Arabidopsis thaliana: one gene and its partner. The protein of the gene in region 2 binds, or shares a complex with, the protein of the main gene of each other region. Each region holds a gene or a part of one and is shown on either strand. Other genes may lie near its edges.

Evidence for each region.
Region 1: CPSF100 (region 2) and CPSF73-II share a complex: the UniProt entries of both Arabidopsis thaliana proteins name them as parts of the CPSF complex.

What each region holds. Positions count from the first base shown.
Region 1 is NC_003071.7:318,687-324,751, reverse strand, and holds CPSF73-II (cleavage and polyadenylation specificity factor 73 kDa subunit-II), read right to left. Parts: upstream 4,320-6,065; 5' UTR 4,156-4,319; coding exon 4,131-4,155; intron 4,033-4,130; coding exon 3,855-4,032; exon of another isoform or gene 3,769-3,854; coding exon 3,696-3,768; intron 3,596-3,695; coding exon 3,478-3,595; intron 3,382-3,477; coding exon 3,308-3,381; intron 3,212-3,307; coding exon 3,075-3,211; intron 2,980-3,074; coding exon 2,916-2,979; intron 2,748-2,915; coding exon 2,682-2,747; intron 2,592-2,681; coding exon 2,522-2,591; intron 2,380-2,521; coding exon 2,275-2,379; intron 2,072-2,274; coding exon 1,930-2,071; intron 1,819-1,929; coding exon 1,722-1,818; intron 1,600-1,721; coding exon 907-1,599; 3' UTR 789-906; downstream 1-788. Other genes in the region: RIE1 (RING-finger protein for embryogenesi), read right to left, coding at 1-253; AT2G01720 (Ribophorin I), read left to right, coding at 4,736-4,840, 5,177-5,221, 5,510-6,065. UniProt on the Arabidopsis thaliana protein: Component of the cleavage and polyadenylation specificity factor (CPSF) complex that play a key role in pre-mRNA 3'-end formation, recognizing the AAUAAA signal sequence and interacting with poly(A) polymerase and other factors to bring about cleavage and poly(A) addition.
Region 2 is NC_003076.8:8,050,475-8,058,472, reverse strand, and holds CPSF100 (cleavage and polyadenylation specificity factor 100), read right to left. Parts: upstream 6,035-7,998; 5' UTR 5,924-6,034; coding exon 5,775-5,923; intron 5,697-5,774; coding exon 5,528-5,696; intron 5,450-5,527; coding exon 5,353-5,449; intron 5,151-5,352; coding exon 5,024-5,150; intron 4,923-5,023; coding exon 4,804-4,922; intron 4,701-4,803; coding exon 4,606-4,700; intron 4,523-4,605; coding exon 4,371-4,522; intron 4,286-4,370; coding exon 4,228-4,285; intron 4,082-4,227; coding exon 3,974-4,081; intron 3,094-3,973; coding exon 2,850-3,093; intron 2,483-2,849; coding exon 2,298-2,482; intron 1,922-2,297; coding exon 1,829-1,921; intron 1,280-1,828; coding exon 1,181-1,279; intron 1,094-1,180; coding exon 962-1,093; intron 873-961; coding exon 828-872; intron 746-827; coding exon 500-745; intron 428-499; coding exon 326-427; 3' UTR 8-325; downstream 1-7. UniProt on the Arabidopsis thaliana protein: CPSF plays a key role in pre-mRNA 3'-end formation, recognizing the AAUAAA signal sequence and interacting with poly(A)polymerase and other factors to bring about cleavage and poly(A) addition. Required for antisense-RNA-mediated gene silencing.

The DNA of each region.
Region 1 (6,065 bases), on a different chromosome or scaffold from region 2:
TCCATAGTATATCAGCAGCAACTACAGGCTTCGAGTAACCCCAATCGATTCGTCTCTCCTCGAGAGCACGCGCCGCTGTTTCTCTAACCAGCATCGACGGTGCTCGGTGGCCGGTGATCCGTCCTAATAGAACGGCGAGAGCTGTAGGTCTGGCTGATGAAGAAGAAGAAGAAAAAGAGCCGTCGTGTCGTGGACGGAGTAGAGGCGCATGTTGATCACGCGCCGCCGTGGAATCTGAAGAATACGATGACATTAGTAACGAAGAGAATTGAGATTCTTCTTTCTCTCTGCTCTAGAAAACGCTAAGCCATGGCGGACAGTTTTAAAAAATGGTTTTAGTTAATTAACATTAATTGAAGATTAGACACAGTCTTATAAGTTAATTATCATTATCACAATAAGTCGTACGTCTTTAACCTTAAAGGATCCGGTTAGGAGTGGCCATTCGGATAAACGGGTCGGATTCGGGTAAAATTCGATCGAATACGGTTTTTCGGGTAGAGAAGTTTAGGATTCTATAGGGTAAATCTAAAATATCGGTTCGTGTATAGATTTTAGGCCTTTTTTAGAACCATACTTGATTTTGCGGGTAAATATGCAAATTTTTCGGATTTCGAATAAAATTTAAATTTTTGATTAAAATATTCATGTATTTTTGGGTTCGACTTCAGATTTGGTTTTTAGGGTAGAAGAATTTAGGACACAAGTAAATTTTCGGATTCAGATTCAGTTTCGGGTAATTGGTTCCGGTTTTTAATACGGGTGTTACTTTGTTAGATAGAAATTGGCGCTAAAGTTGGTAAGTTTAGTTACTACTGGGTTAATTTAATTTACTAGGATCAAAACTTTTACATATGCCGACAGAAAAACGACAAAAACTGAAAACACTTCTCAGTGTTACAAGAATCAGTGATTTAGTTTGATAGCATTGATGATTTCCCAGCCAAGCTCTAAATCTGCGATAGACCAGTTGCAACACAAGAACACAGCTTCACTACTACTACTACTGCTTCGATGCATACACTTGTCTTTTAGACACAAAGAGCCCTTGAAAGATGCAACCTGCAAACAGTTTTCAGATTCATGGATCTGAGCACCAGACACTGTCTTCAAGATCTTTGCAGACAATTGTTTGATTAGATCAACATCATCATCTTCTGATTCTCCTTTAACTTTCACTGGACAACAATGAGCTAAAGAGACCACATGGTTTTTCTCATGTAACACCTCAGAGATTTCATCTTGGTGAACTATCTTTGCCTTTTTGCTCTTCTCTATTACCAAAACCCCGTCTGCGGTTCTATGGTCTGTAACACGGAGCTGAGTAGAGTTTGAGAATTTGAAATTCGGGTTGGAGCAGCTTTTTAGGAACATATCAGAAGCGTTTGCTTTTATATAAGTGGTTGAAGCGAATGAAACTGTTTCGCCATTGGCAGGGACGAAACAGGGGATGTCAAGCTCTGAGGTTATCTTTTCCTTAAGAATCATCATGCTGGGTTTTTCGCCGTGCACGAGTACAACGTTCTTTGGGGAAAGGAACTTTGTGAGATCCATTATTCCTTTTGCATCTGTGTGAGGACTGAAAGCCACTTGATGTACCTGATAACAACAGAATCAACAAGACATTTTAGTTTAGGTTCAACGTGTGAATTGGACGCATTGCTGTTTTCGTGTTAAGGTTACATAAATTTTGTGAGAACCAGAAGAAAGAGTAAACAAACCTTGCAACGGACATCGACCTTGGTGCCATTGTAGAGATCAACCGTCGTGGGTTTACCAGCCATCAGTTTGTGCCCAACGGTCCCAGCCACAGAGTATCTGTAAAAAACGGATCCATAAATGGATGAAAAGAGATACAATTTCGTGTTAGATGCTATGCTAGGAAAAAACTGAATTGCTAATAAAGGGGAAACACAATAGGTATAGTACCCGGGTAATGCAACAAGATTCAAGGGAGAAGGAGCCCAGTGCTTGAACACTTCAAGTGAAAAGCCAGCACAAAGCATACCAGGTGTGGCAAAGAGAACACATGGCCCAGGAGCATGTATAAGAGATCGATCGAAATCTTTAACTGCAGAATGTGAAGGTAGTAGTTAGAAAGCAAGCAGAGTTGTACAGCTAAGGTAGTGGATAAGAACAAAAAATGGACGCAAAGGATGTATTAGAACCACTAGTTTGGTTCTTATTTTTCAAGCACATCAGAGTTTCGGTTCCATATGATATAAATTTCATCTTCAACGTTCTAAAGTTATTTGCAAATGGTAGTACACATACCATTCTTAAAATCAAATGGGTTATGCGTATTGTGCTTTTCTTTAACGTTCTGGCTTGTCCAGCTGATGAGCATTTTGTAATACATATTTGCTTGGATGGTCAAACCTGCAAAAGTACAAATTTATCTTCAGGGACAGCAATTTTCAGAAGATAGAGATCACTATTCATGAAATAGAGTCACGACTTTGTTGAGCTGACTAATCTGCAGAATTGATTTCATATGAGGATTGGTGGTGATTTAACAGACCTGATGAGAAGTAAATTGGAACCTTTATATTCATGCGTTCCCAGTAATCATCAAGCAGCATGCAGAGTTCCTGAAAAAGGAAACGCAATTGTCAATGAGACATAAGAGAAGCAAAGACAAGTTTAAGTAACTGACTTCAAAGCTCTGTAAGAAGACAGACCTGAGCCCTTCCAAGAGCAAATGAAGGAATCAGCGCCTTCCCTCCGCCAGCAACACATTTATGAACCTGGAAGAGTTTTCTGAGATATCAGACAATTACCAAACGAAAGCTTAAGCATTTCCTGAAGGGGTATATTGATCAGAAACAAGCCAAAGGTGATGCGGGTAATTATAATCAAAAACCATTTAAGAACAAATTTAGAAACCATGTGTTAATAGTTACAAGTAGACATACAGCTTGAAGAAACTCTCTCTCCCGGGGATATTTTGAGCCGCGAATGGTAGTTGCATATGTGGACCTAAAACGGCATAGTTAAACCTATATCAGGTAAACTTGTTCTTTCTAAGTTTGTTGAAAAATACCAGCGAACAAGTTTGTATTTGTTTTCCATACTCTGAAATGAGAAGATCCAACTGGAGTCTGTCAATTTTAGCAGCTCCTAGATGTCTATCTGTCGTCATATTGTAATCTCCAGTGTACACAATCGCTGCATCTCCCATCTTTGCATAAACCATCACTGCTCCAAGGACCTTATGATCAATACAAAATAAGCTTTAAAAAATACAGAAACTCTGAATATAAAAAACACAGAAAGAAATTCACTAAAACCAGAACGAATGTCTTACATGCCCTGCATAATAAGCCCGGATTTGAAGATCTTCATCAACCTGAATTGTTTGCTTCAAATCTATTGCAATTACTACATATAAAAAAACAAGAGGAAGTCAAGTTATAGACACTGCATCTGAATTCGTGCACAAAGACCTCAAATGAACTAAATCCAATATTCAAGTACCTTTTTTCATGCAGTTTGCGATATGGGTAGTGGTGAATAGCTCCTCCTCGCCTCTTCTATCCACCATCACTCTTCGGTAGTCCTCAAGCATTAATGGAGACAAAGCCTTTGTGGGATACTACAAAAGAGACAAATCAAAGTAAACAACCTTTACCTTCACAAAAAAAAAACAGTCAGTCAAACATTTCATCGAACACCTTGAGGACAATATAACTCACCGACATATAAATCGGACCATTGTACCCACAAACTTCCGTGAAGTAAGGAAGCGCTCCAACATGATCCATATGGCTATTAACACTCACAATTAAAACCCACAAAAACTAAAAAAGTGAATTTTAAAAAAGGGACAAATTCTGGGTTTGAAGAATCAATACAAGTGTGTGATGATGATACAAGAGATCGCGTTGTCAAAATCACCGGATTTAGATATGAGAGAAAAATTTGGGTAACGATTGTGATCATCACAGCCCATATGCATCCCACAATCGAACATTATCTTTTTACCATTAATCGTCACTACCACACAGCTCTTTCCAATCTCTTGTCCAGCACCTGGATACAACACAAAAAAGATAGAATTATACAGAAATTGAAATTGTGAAACTTTGAAGAAGCAAAGAGAGAAGAAGAAGAAGAACAAAAACTGTTACCAAGTACGAGACAATCGATAGCCATAGTTACTGAAGAAATAAACAACAATTTGAGTTTCAAAACTCGTCGATGGTCAAAAATATCTTACTCGTTGAATCAGAACACAAATTCAAGTGACCGGAGAAAATTTTGAAGGGGGCGAGAGAAGAAACAGAGTTAGGTCGACAAACGAATTTGAATGGCGGCAAAGTGTTCAGTGACATCGGAACCGTTCGGAGTTATTACACGTGTCTGATCCAACCGTCGATATTTTTGTGGTGTGAAGCCCAATAATAGTTCTTCTCACGGCCCATTAAATTTAAAAGTTTGAAACGACAACGTCTCATGTCGTTTTTAATCTGAGGAAGAAAAAAGCTCGTAACTAATCCCTAAATCAAGAGAGAAGTGAGAGACACTGAGACTTTGTAGTTGACCGGATCATTCTCACTTCGCCGGCCGACGTTCTTCCTTCCGCCGTCGGTATCTATATTTACGATCCACGATCTCTCTTGCTGTTTCTGTCTTCATCGGTGAGTAATTTTTTACTGATCTTCCAAATCCTATCAATTCACCATCTCTGAGCTCTTTCGTTGATTTGAGTTTTGTTCTTACTGCAGTGACGAAAATGGCTGCTCGTATCGGGATCTTCTCCGTCTTCGTAGCTGTATTGTTATCTATTTCTGCATTTTCCTCAGCTCAGGATCTCCAGATCGTAAATGCCGAGCGAAGGGTAAGATTCTCCGATCTATCTTCTTCTTACAATTCATAAACTTCCTTAATGGATCCCGTTTCTCCGATTTATGGAAATTCAAGTTAATGAAGTTGCCGTTGGGCTTTGCTGTTTCTCCGATCTATACTCGGTTTGTAGAATTACTGTGTGATTGGTCACTTCATGGTTGATCATCATCGATAGGCTTCATATGTATGTACATTGATAGATAGTGTGACTTTTCATCAGTTATACGTTTGATTTGAGTAATTAGAAAGTCTAATGATAGAACCTGTTTGCAAAATTTTCTTGCCCGAAACTGAAATGCTTCTCCTTTGTGTTTGTTTTTGTCTACAGATTGATTTAAGCTCACATATCGTGAAGGCCTTCTTGACTCTCAAGGTATTTATAAGCAAATGTTTATAATAGTTATTCCTATTGAATATACACTGGAAGGTTGGAACTTAGAATTGGAAAATTAAAGCTTTTTTGGATATGTTATATGAAACTGCAGCTGTTTTTCTTTTAGTCAAATTTAGTTTATTGTAGTGATACTTGTTGTAAAGGTTGGAACTTTAGTGGCTTTGATTCGTTGTGACAGTTAATTTGATATTATCGCTTTTCTCCTTCATCATCTTTAAGTTTTTCTATTAGGAGGTGACATTTTCTTGTCTGGATTTCTTTCTTCAGGTTGAAAATATTGGGAAAGATCCTGCTGCAGAAATGCTTCTTGCTTTCCCACCTACCCAGATCAAGAATTTGGCTATGGTACAAGCCCTGGCAACTACTGGCAAGAAGAAGAAGAAAACTTATTTGCCATTAGATGTAAAACCAACTGAACAACCTGATGCACCAAATGACACTGGATACTACCGTGTTACGTTTATTAGCCCCTTAGGTCCGGGTGAAACTGTTTCACTTGAGGTGCTTTACATATTGACTCATTCCTTGGAACCTTTCCCAGTGGAGATAACCCAGTCAGAATCTCAATTGGTTTACTATCATGATAGTGCAGTGATATTGTCACCGTATCATGTTAAGCAACAGACAACTTTTATTAAGACTCCTAGTACTAGAGTAGAGTCGTTCACTAGCATTGAACCTGCTAACCGGGCTGGCAAAGAGATCAAATATGGACCATATGAAAATCGTGCTTCATACTCTTACACACCTGTCATCATTCACTTCGAGAATAACAGTCCATTTGCTGTTGTTGAGGAGCTTGTGCGTGAAATTGAGATTTCAC
Region 2 (7,998 bases):
AAAGCTCTTGAATGGAAAGTGTTTTCGCTTTCATTTTAAACTTTTGAGAGAACATACAAGGAACAAAGAAGAGAGTTTATCACGTTTTACTGTTTTAGTTTACCGCTTTACCGAAATAGGAGTGGAATATATCCAATGACAACTTAAGCTTCTACTAAGATGACAAGTACAAAAAAGTTACAAAAAGCTATTGCCATTTTTAACACATTAATCTATAAGATTTGAGGGTTATAAGCAAGGCAATAAACTATACGAGATTACATGTTGAGTGGTTGAAAAATGTTGAGAAAATGAGAAGAAGCTTCATTTTTTTTCTATATCATGCTCAGAGGAGGTAGAACTGAGAATAGAGATAATCCCTGATTTTGTAATAGTCTTCACACAACGGTCCTTCTATCAGAATTTGCTGTGGACCCGATGCTCCTCCCTGAACAATCCCCAACATATATAAGTCATTCTCTGATTTGTTGTAAGAAATGCAGTATTTGCTTTGAATTACCTTTTGACCCGTCGGTCCAACCTTTCGTAGAGTGACATATTCACCACAACGTAAAGCTCCTCCACCTGCAAATTCTACCTGAACACCCTTGCTCGACAGAAACTGCTTGAAGTCTGCGATTTTCAGATCACCTACTAGAACAGGTTTGTGTGGCGAAGCAGCACCTGGCATCGGTAGTAGAGACCTCATGTCCCTCTCTGTCTTCCCTACTTCGGAATCCACCCAAGCTACTTCTGAATCTCCCAGCTGATATTATTTCATCATTCTTCAGAGACATTGGTTGCAAATCGGAAAAGAAGAAAAAAATAGTCACGGAAATAAAAGGTACCTTCTTGAAGATCACATTGCTCATCAGCTTTTCAGAAAGTTGGACCTGATGTATCACCATACAGGGTTAATTCAATCACACAACTCAAAACCCATGAGTTAAAAAGGATCTTCCTAATTCTAAGTAATTTCTACCTTGTAAGCACATAAATCAGAAGTCACATCGACCGTTTCCTCTATTTGAGGAGCATACACGTGTGGACAGATGTTGTTCAAGCAGTGTTGCTTCAAATGCTCTGTAGCCTCAGCTATCGCGTGCACCAAAACCTTCACATGATATATAGTATTAGATCACCGCAAGTTTCCAGTTCAGTGCTTAACACTATATATATATAAGACGAGAGAGAAACGTACAAGTTTTAAAGGAGAAACATGCGCAATCATTGACTTGATTGAGCGGCCATCTGACCGACCTTCATAGTCCATTTTAACAAGTGAACAACTAACAGTCACCTGTGCAAAAGCATAAGAACAAACTAAATCATTTATCAGGGAAATTAGACAGCAGTTAGGTATAGACAGAAGAAGACTAAAGAGCCATATTGTTTTGTTTAGCAGGCAAGGCCTACGTTCTGAGAATAACCTTCTGAAACTTCTACATGACATAAGATCAAGTGGGTAAAAGTAAGAACACAAAAGTTGTTCAATAACAAGAAGAAAATTAGACCGATTAATCCAAACAACAAAATATCTGTAAGTTGAATTATCGTGCTAAAGATCTGATTAGCAAGGTCTCCCGTGATAACTAATTAGAAGATCAATTAATAAATTTCTTGTATGCATATCATCAGATGAAGATAAATTTGACAGGCACAACGCCATGTCAATGAGAATTCCTATCTCTCTATTTCTAAGTGAGAAGACTACTCCTTGTGCCTATCATTGATAAGCAGTCTATAACAATAATCAGAGATTCTAGAAAGGGAGAACAAATGAGGACATTAACTGAGACAAAATCTCTATCAATGTATTGTTCTTTGGATATAATTAGAGTCTACTTACAATGAGCTCATTGGACATGACTTTCGAAGGTCTTGTATCAAGCATGAGACTAGCAGTTGCCTCATCAAGCCTTCCGTCCACATCACCTCCGTTCTGAAATGGAAAATTATATCACAAATTTAATAAGCAACACAAGACTCTACATAGAATGACCCTAAACCTTTACTAGTAAGCAATCAGTTGTTAAGGAAAATATAAAGATGGAACTGTAGAACCAGTGCACTCATTTGAAGAACTGCACTCATACCAAATCAAGAGCCTAAGCAACTTTATGGCAAAAGATTTCCTATCTGTATCCCAAATCCTCAGAGCATATCATGCAGATTTCTTACATCTTTGTTCTTCTTGATACAAAAATCGTAAAAGGAACCACCACTATGCAAACATCATGGAAATTAAGAGGTCTAATTTGCAAATATAACAAGAGCTAAGAAAGACCAAGACCAAGACCAGAATTCAAGGAACGTACATGCATTGCTCCTCGGTCCATGTCTTCATCCTTGATCACATAGTCATCTGGATTAATAATCTCCCCAAAGTCGTCCCATTCAGATGTGTTATCATAATATGGGAACATTGGAGCTACGCTGCTGGATGGGGGAACAAATCCATCAATCAATATATCTTTATATGCAGGCCCGTGAGAACCAATAACTGCAAGAGTAGTCAGAAATGTAAAAGGTCAGTTGCAGACCACTATGTAGTGGAAAGAAGAGCAATCAACAACGGTAGCCAGAGGTCTAATTGAAACAGACACATATTGTGGGACTGTGAAAAACTAAACAAATTACCCAGAAATGTATTGTGAGACTTCTAAATGTAGCTTCTAGGTCACTCAAGATAACCACATAAATGCCTCCTAAAACCAACTAACCAGTACATTACAGAGGGTACTATGTGCATAGCCATTTTCAGTACTAGATACTTCAATTAAGTTAAAGTTTACATGAAAAATAAGAAGTTACAGGCCACAGAATATTCAAGGGTAATAAAATGTTATATAAAATAAGAAAAAATTTACCATCGTGAGTAGTCTTGGTATCTATGATCATAGGTTCACTTGAATTATCATCGGATCCATGGGAAGCTTTTGTTTCCTCCTCTTTAACGAGGCTAGCTCGCAAAGCTTCTTCCCTTTTCAGTCTGTTTTGCTCTTCCTCATATGCAATTAACTCTTCCCCAGCCAAAGGAACCCTCTTAGACATGGTGACTTTAACAAATTTTGGAGGTGGGGCTGACTGAAGCATACGAGCTAAAGTGCCAAACTGCAAATAGAAGCAAATGACAATTAAAAATCAAACTAACAGCAGTTTAGTTTTATGTGATTGACTACAAACCGAAACATCTTGCAAATCTTAGATCACGTGAACTATGAATGGACACATGGAAAGTATAATCGCCATCGCAACTAAGGAACACGACCAATGGCAAAGGTAACAAATTGGATGAAGAACTTCGATAATTTCACTTGGATTTACGGTGTTACTGGTATTTCAAACTTAATAATTCCGTAATGCTCTGTTTTCTGGATAGATTGACATGGACAAGAAAGCATAGTCACACAGAACTGAGAAAAGCGTGAATAATTAACCAAAGCTTCCATTTGTTTCCAAACTATTTATTTGAATAAATTTATTTTTGTCTAGATTGAATTTTAATTAAAAGTATGATATTTCAGGGAACAGGATGATGTCTCGCTAGAAGAAAAATAAACAAAGTACGCGGTTACAAAAAAAAATTATGTTCATTTGAGATGAATGATATGGCCAATTAGACAGTTTGTGCATAGTGGTGTCAATTCCATTAATATGATAGTCTACTAAGACCCTTTATTTTGTACTGGATGTAACTAATTGATAAATTCAAGACTGAAAGCTCTGGAGATTATCCTAAAGGAGCAAGCCAGGCTTTGGTGGTAATTATAATGCTGCTTTAAGGTACTCAATCTCTGCCTATTGTGTACATATTGGGGGTAAATATCCACACATAAATGGGGGAACTCTTATTCAGATCAGAAGACAAAAAAGATTCTCATATATCCACTTAACTAGCTGATCAGCACTAGGAAAAGAATCTACCATCAGGTCTTTATAGCAATGCTAATAAATTTTCGTTCCTCAACGTATGTGGGTTCTAAAAACATACCTGGCCTGTTTCAGTAAAGAGGACTAAATTTCTGGGATCATTTGCCCACTCCACGAATATCTCTCGAGCAAAACCGGCTTCGAGACTAGCCATGGAAGCAAGAACAACCTATATTATGAGATTTAGTCACTACAACATATAATAGGAAAAAATCTAGTTCTATTATCAGCTGAAAAGACAGGAAATAATAATAAATCCACCACGTTCTATGTACTAACAAACACTAATGAGTTACTTATAATTTTATAAACAACCTTTGGACCAGGTGGAGCATTATCCAGATCAGTCTTGTTTATCAACAGAGTGACATGCCTGCATGTGTTTAAATTTCATGTGATGTCTTCTGTATTCTAAACAAACGACGGCACAAATAAGGCATTCTTATAAGAAAATCTACCTCAATAGAAAGGCATTATCACGTGAAGTCTCAAAGGACTTTGAAATGGAGTCACTCATCCACTCGAGGAAACTCTTAACATAGTCAATTGTGCTAGATGACACGTACGTGAGAAAATAAATGGGAAAGCTGAAACCTCTTTGTGACCAATGCTGCAGGTTTGATCAATATCCAGTCTTTAAAAAACAGCTGAACATTAACTAAGAGCATGATACATTCAAAGCGGTTCTATTACCTGTTCAAGTATCAAGAGAAGTTCCAGGACACGACCCGCAGTGTCTACTGGCAATAGAACATTTCCTCCAACTTCAAGATGTTTTGAAATGGTATCTGAATGATAAATGGGGACATGCACACATGTTTCTGGCAGTTAGAAGCGGGCTGTTTTAAATACTATAGAAGATACACAACACATATTGGGCTACAAGCTAACCTAGAAATTCTTTGTCCCTTTGCTGTCTTGCGGTTTGATTGGTATAAAGAGCATGATATGCATCGGTTATCAGAACAGCAGGCCGAACAAAAGACTGTAAAACAGTTCCATTCAAATGCCTGAATTAAGATATACAATTCAGTATCACGAGTCCACATCTTTACTTACTGTTATGAACATTACTCGAACTTCAAATAAGATAAAATCTGAACATATGTACCTTTCTTTCCGATGATTGTAGTCAACAGCATATATAACATCCTCCCCATCCTTTGTTATCCTCCAGATGCTACCTCCCAGCATGTGTCCAGCAACATGAGGAGCAATTACAATACCCTCTCCCTTTCCTGATAGGGCAACGATAAAACCTTGAGACATCCTAACAATCTTTGAAGTCATAACTTAGGTTTCAACAACCAAATACTCAATGTGTGTCAAAGAACTCCTTCCCGATATGAGATCATAGATAATGCAGATCAAACTTGCTTGAGATAAGTGTCAATTGTTTCTAGTTTGCTATAGAGCCTAGAAATCACTAAAACCACATACCAGAAAGATGGTAATTTTGAGAGTAAGTCAATCTGATCACATTCTGGAAAGCAGAATCTATGTCATCCAGTGTAAACAGATCAAAGTCGGATACTTGCTGCAACAGTAAGATCATCGTGTTACAATGCAGACAATTGCGCAAAAATAACCACTCCAGTAGTTAACAAAATCTCACCTTCCTGGACAAAAACTGATCATACATTGTAAGGAGACCTAATCTATGAACAGGCTCAGTAGCATAAACAGGAGCGGAGAGTCCAAGCTGCTTCATAGCATAAGGAAGAGCACCAATGTGAAGTGTATCTGGATGAGAAAGCAAAACTGCATCTATAGTAGAAGCAACCCTGTAAACCAGAAGAATCGAATTCAAAACAAATTAGATTGGTGAATTCTGGAAATGTAGATAATAAGGATAGAGAAACCTGGAGAGAGGTTCGAGGAGCGATGTGTCGAAGAGATCGTTCCAACCACAGTCGATGAGGAAGTTGAAACCATCAATGGAGACTAAGTAGGAGAGAGGATTCTCGTTGTAAACTCCGCAGAGAGGAGTCACTTGCACCGAAGTACCCATCTTTTCCGTTCGCCGATATAAACCCTAAAATTTCTCCGATGAACTAAAGAAGAAGAAGCCACCGTGAAAGAGGGTTTTTTAATTCTGTAATAATAACCTCCCCGGTCCATATATTTCCTTTTACTTCTAAAATAACCCTTTTCTTTTCAAATTGTTCATTTGGTACATATAATCTTTGAAATTTTTTCTCTCTTTACCTTGATTTTTTAACCAACACAAAGAGGGATTAGTGAATCTTTTACCAAAAAATGTTGTGGTAGCAGTGAAACATAGATGGTGAGTCCATTATAAGCATATGAGTCAATTCTATTGTATGTTCAAACTTCAAAGTAGATCGGTTTCATTATGATTGCTCATTCATTTAAAATTACATGAAACTTCATTCATTGTTTCAACATGAAAACATTAAACACACCCTTAAGGAAAAATAGGCAAATCTCCGTTAAATATACTAGAGTAAATCAAAAACTTTTAAGCAGTTGTACCAAATACACTAGATCTATGAGCATATGGTGCAACCAGAAGACCATTACAAGTTGATAAGAACTTACGCATAAACCTTTGTATTTATTATCCGTAAATCCCAATTACAATGAATCAAAACCCTATATTGATAAGATCGGAGTTACAATGCTCATCTCTTATCATCAAGAACATAGCACACAAGCCCTAATTCTCCTCACAACATCAATGATCACGCAGGATAATCTCTATAATTCCTCTCTAATATCCCTATTTATACTCTTTTATTCTTCTCATGCTTCTCTTTAGCTCTTCACACGTGCCTAATTCTCCCACATGTGTGCTCTCTTATCACTAATTAGTAAATGTTGCAACTAAAAGATCACTACAATGGTAAAAAAATGTTGGAAATCTCTTCTATGAAATAAGAGATATTAATGAATGAATTCACTTTCAGTTAATTTTGAATTAAACGTATTTGAATTCTGATATAGTATCGAAGTTCAGATCATTTGACATAGGTGTGTTGCGTAATACTTAATAATTCAATAGTTCGAGATGAACTATATATATCATTTGTTAGGAATATGATGGACAATAAGAAACAAGTAGCTGGTATGTTGATTGTGACGAATGATAAGTTCTTCCTGATTTTATTGATGCACGTTAGAAAGCCAAACAACATTTTGATTCAAAATTGTGATAGCTTCACTTCAAAGGCAACACAAAAAAAAAAAAAAAAAAAAAAAAAACATATGCATTTGGTGAAGGAGGACCCGTGAGGACCAAACCAAAATCATAATGGCTAAGGATAACAACCATAACTAACTATCAAACCTTTCTTTCTTGATATGAATATGAAAGTTGTAGTTAGGTAATAATAGGTTGATTAGTTAAAGAGTGTAAATAAATGTAATTATTATACTTGTTTTCATAAGAAAAATGACCAGAGAGATTGAAGACAATTGTTTGTGTGTGTTTTTTTTTGGTTCTTTAAAGATAGATTAAGAAGATTCGGTGAACCTAAACCAAAAGACACCTAAGAATGTGATTTTCGATTCTAATTCATCAGCTGGTGACCCACCCATCAAGACCCATCTCCATACTTAGAAAAATATCTAAAAATACAATACATTTTTTATAAATAAATAAAAAGAAAGTATCAAAATATGGTTATTCTTGCAAAAAAAAAAACTTTTTTTTAATCATTTGTTTTTTGTTTTTTGGCCTTATCTACGCCCTATGCTGTCTACTGCACATAACTAAACTTAGCTCTCGTGTGAAACTGATAAGTAGTAGTGTAGAACTGTTTTTGTGAGCCTGTGGCTGTCACTGAAATTTGTTTTTAATACCAATACAGAAATTGGATTTCAATACATTTACAGATTGAAAATTCTTACAAAAACATAAACAATGAATTTACAATGGTGGACCACAGTAGAATTACAAGGAAATATTTACTAAACGAAAATAGAAATCTGAATGTATAGAGGGAAATGAATCTTTTAGCTCAACAGAAAAATTTCATCTATTTTTAAAGCTAAAGTTCTTAAGGAAGAAAATATCATGTGGACTTTATATTTCTAATAAATAAATTAATGTAAACAATAACA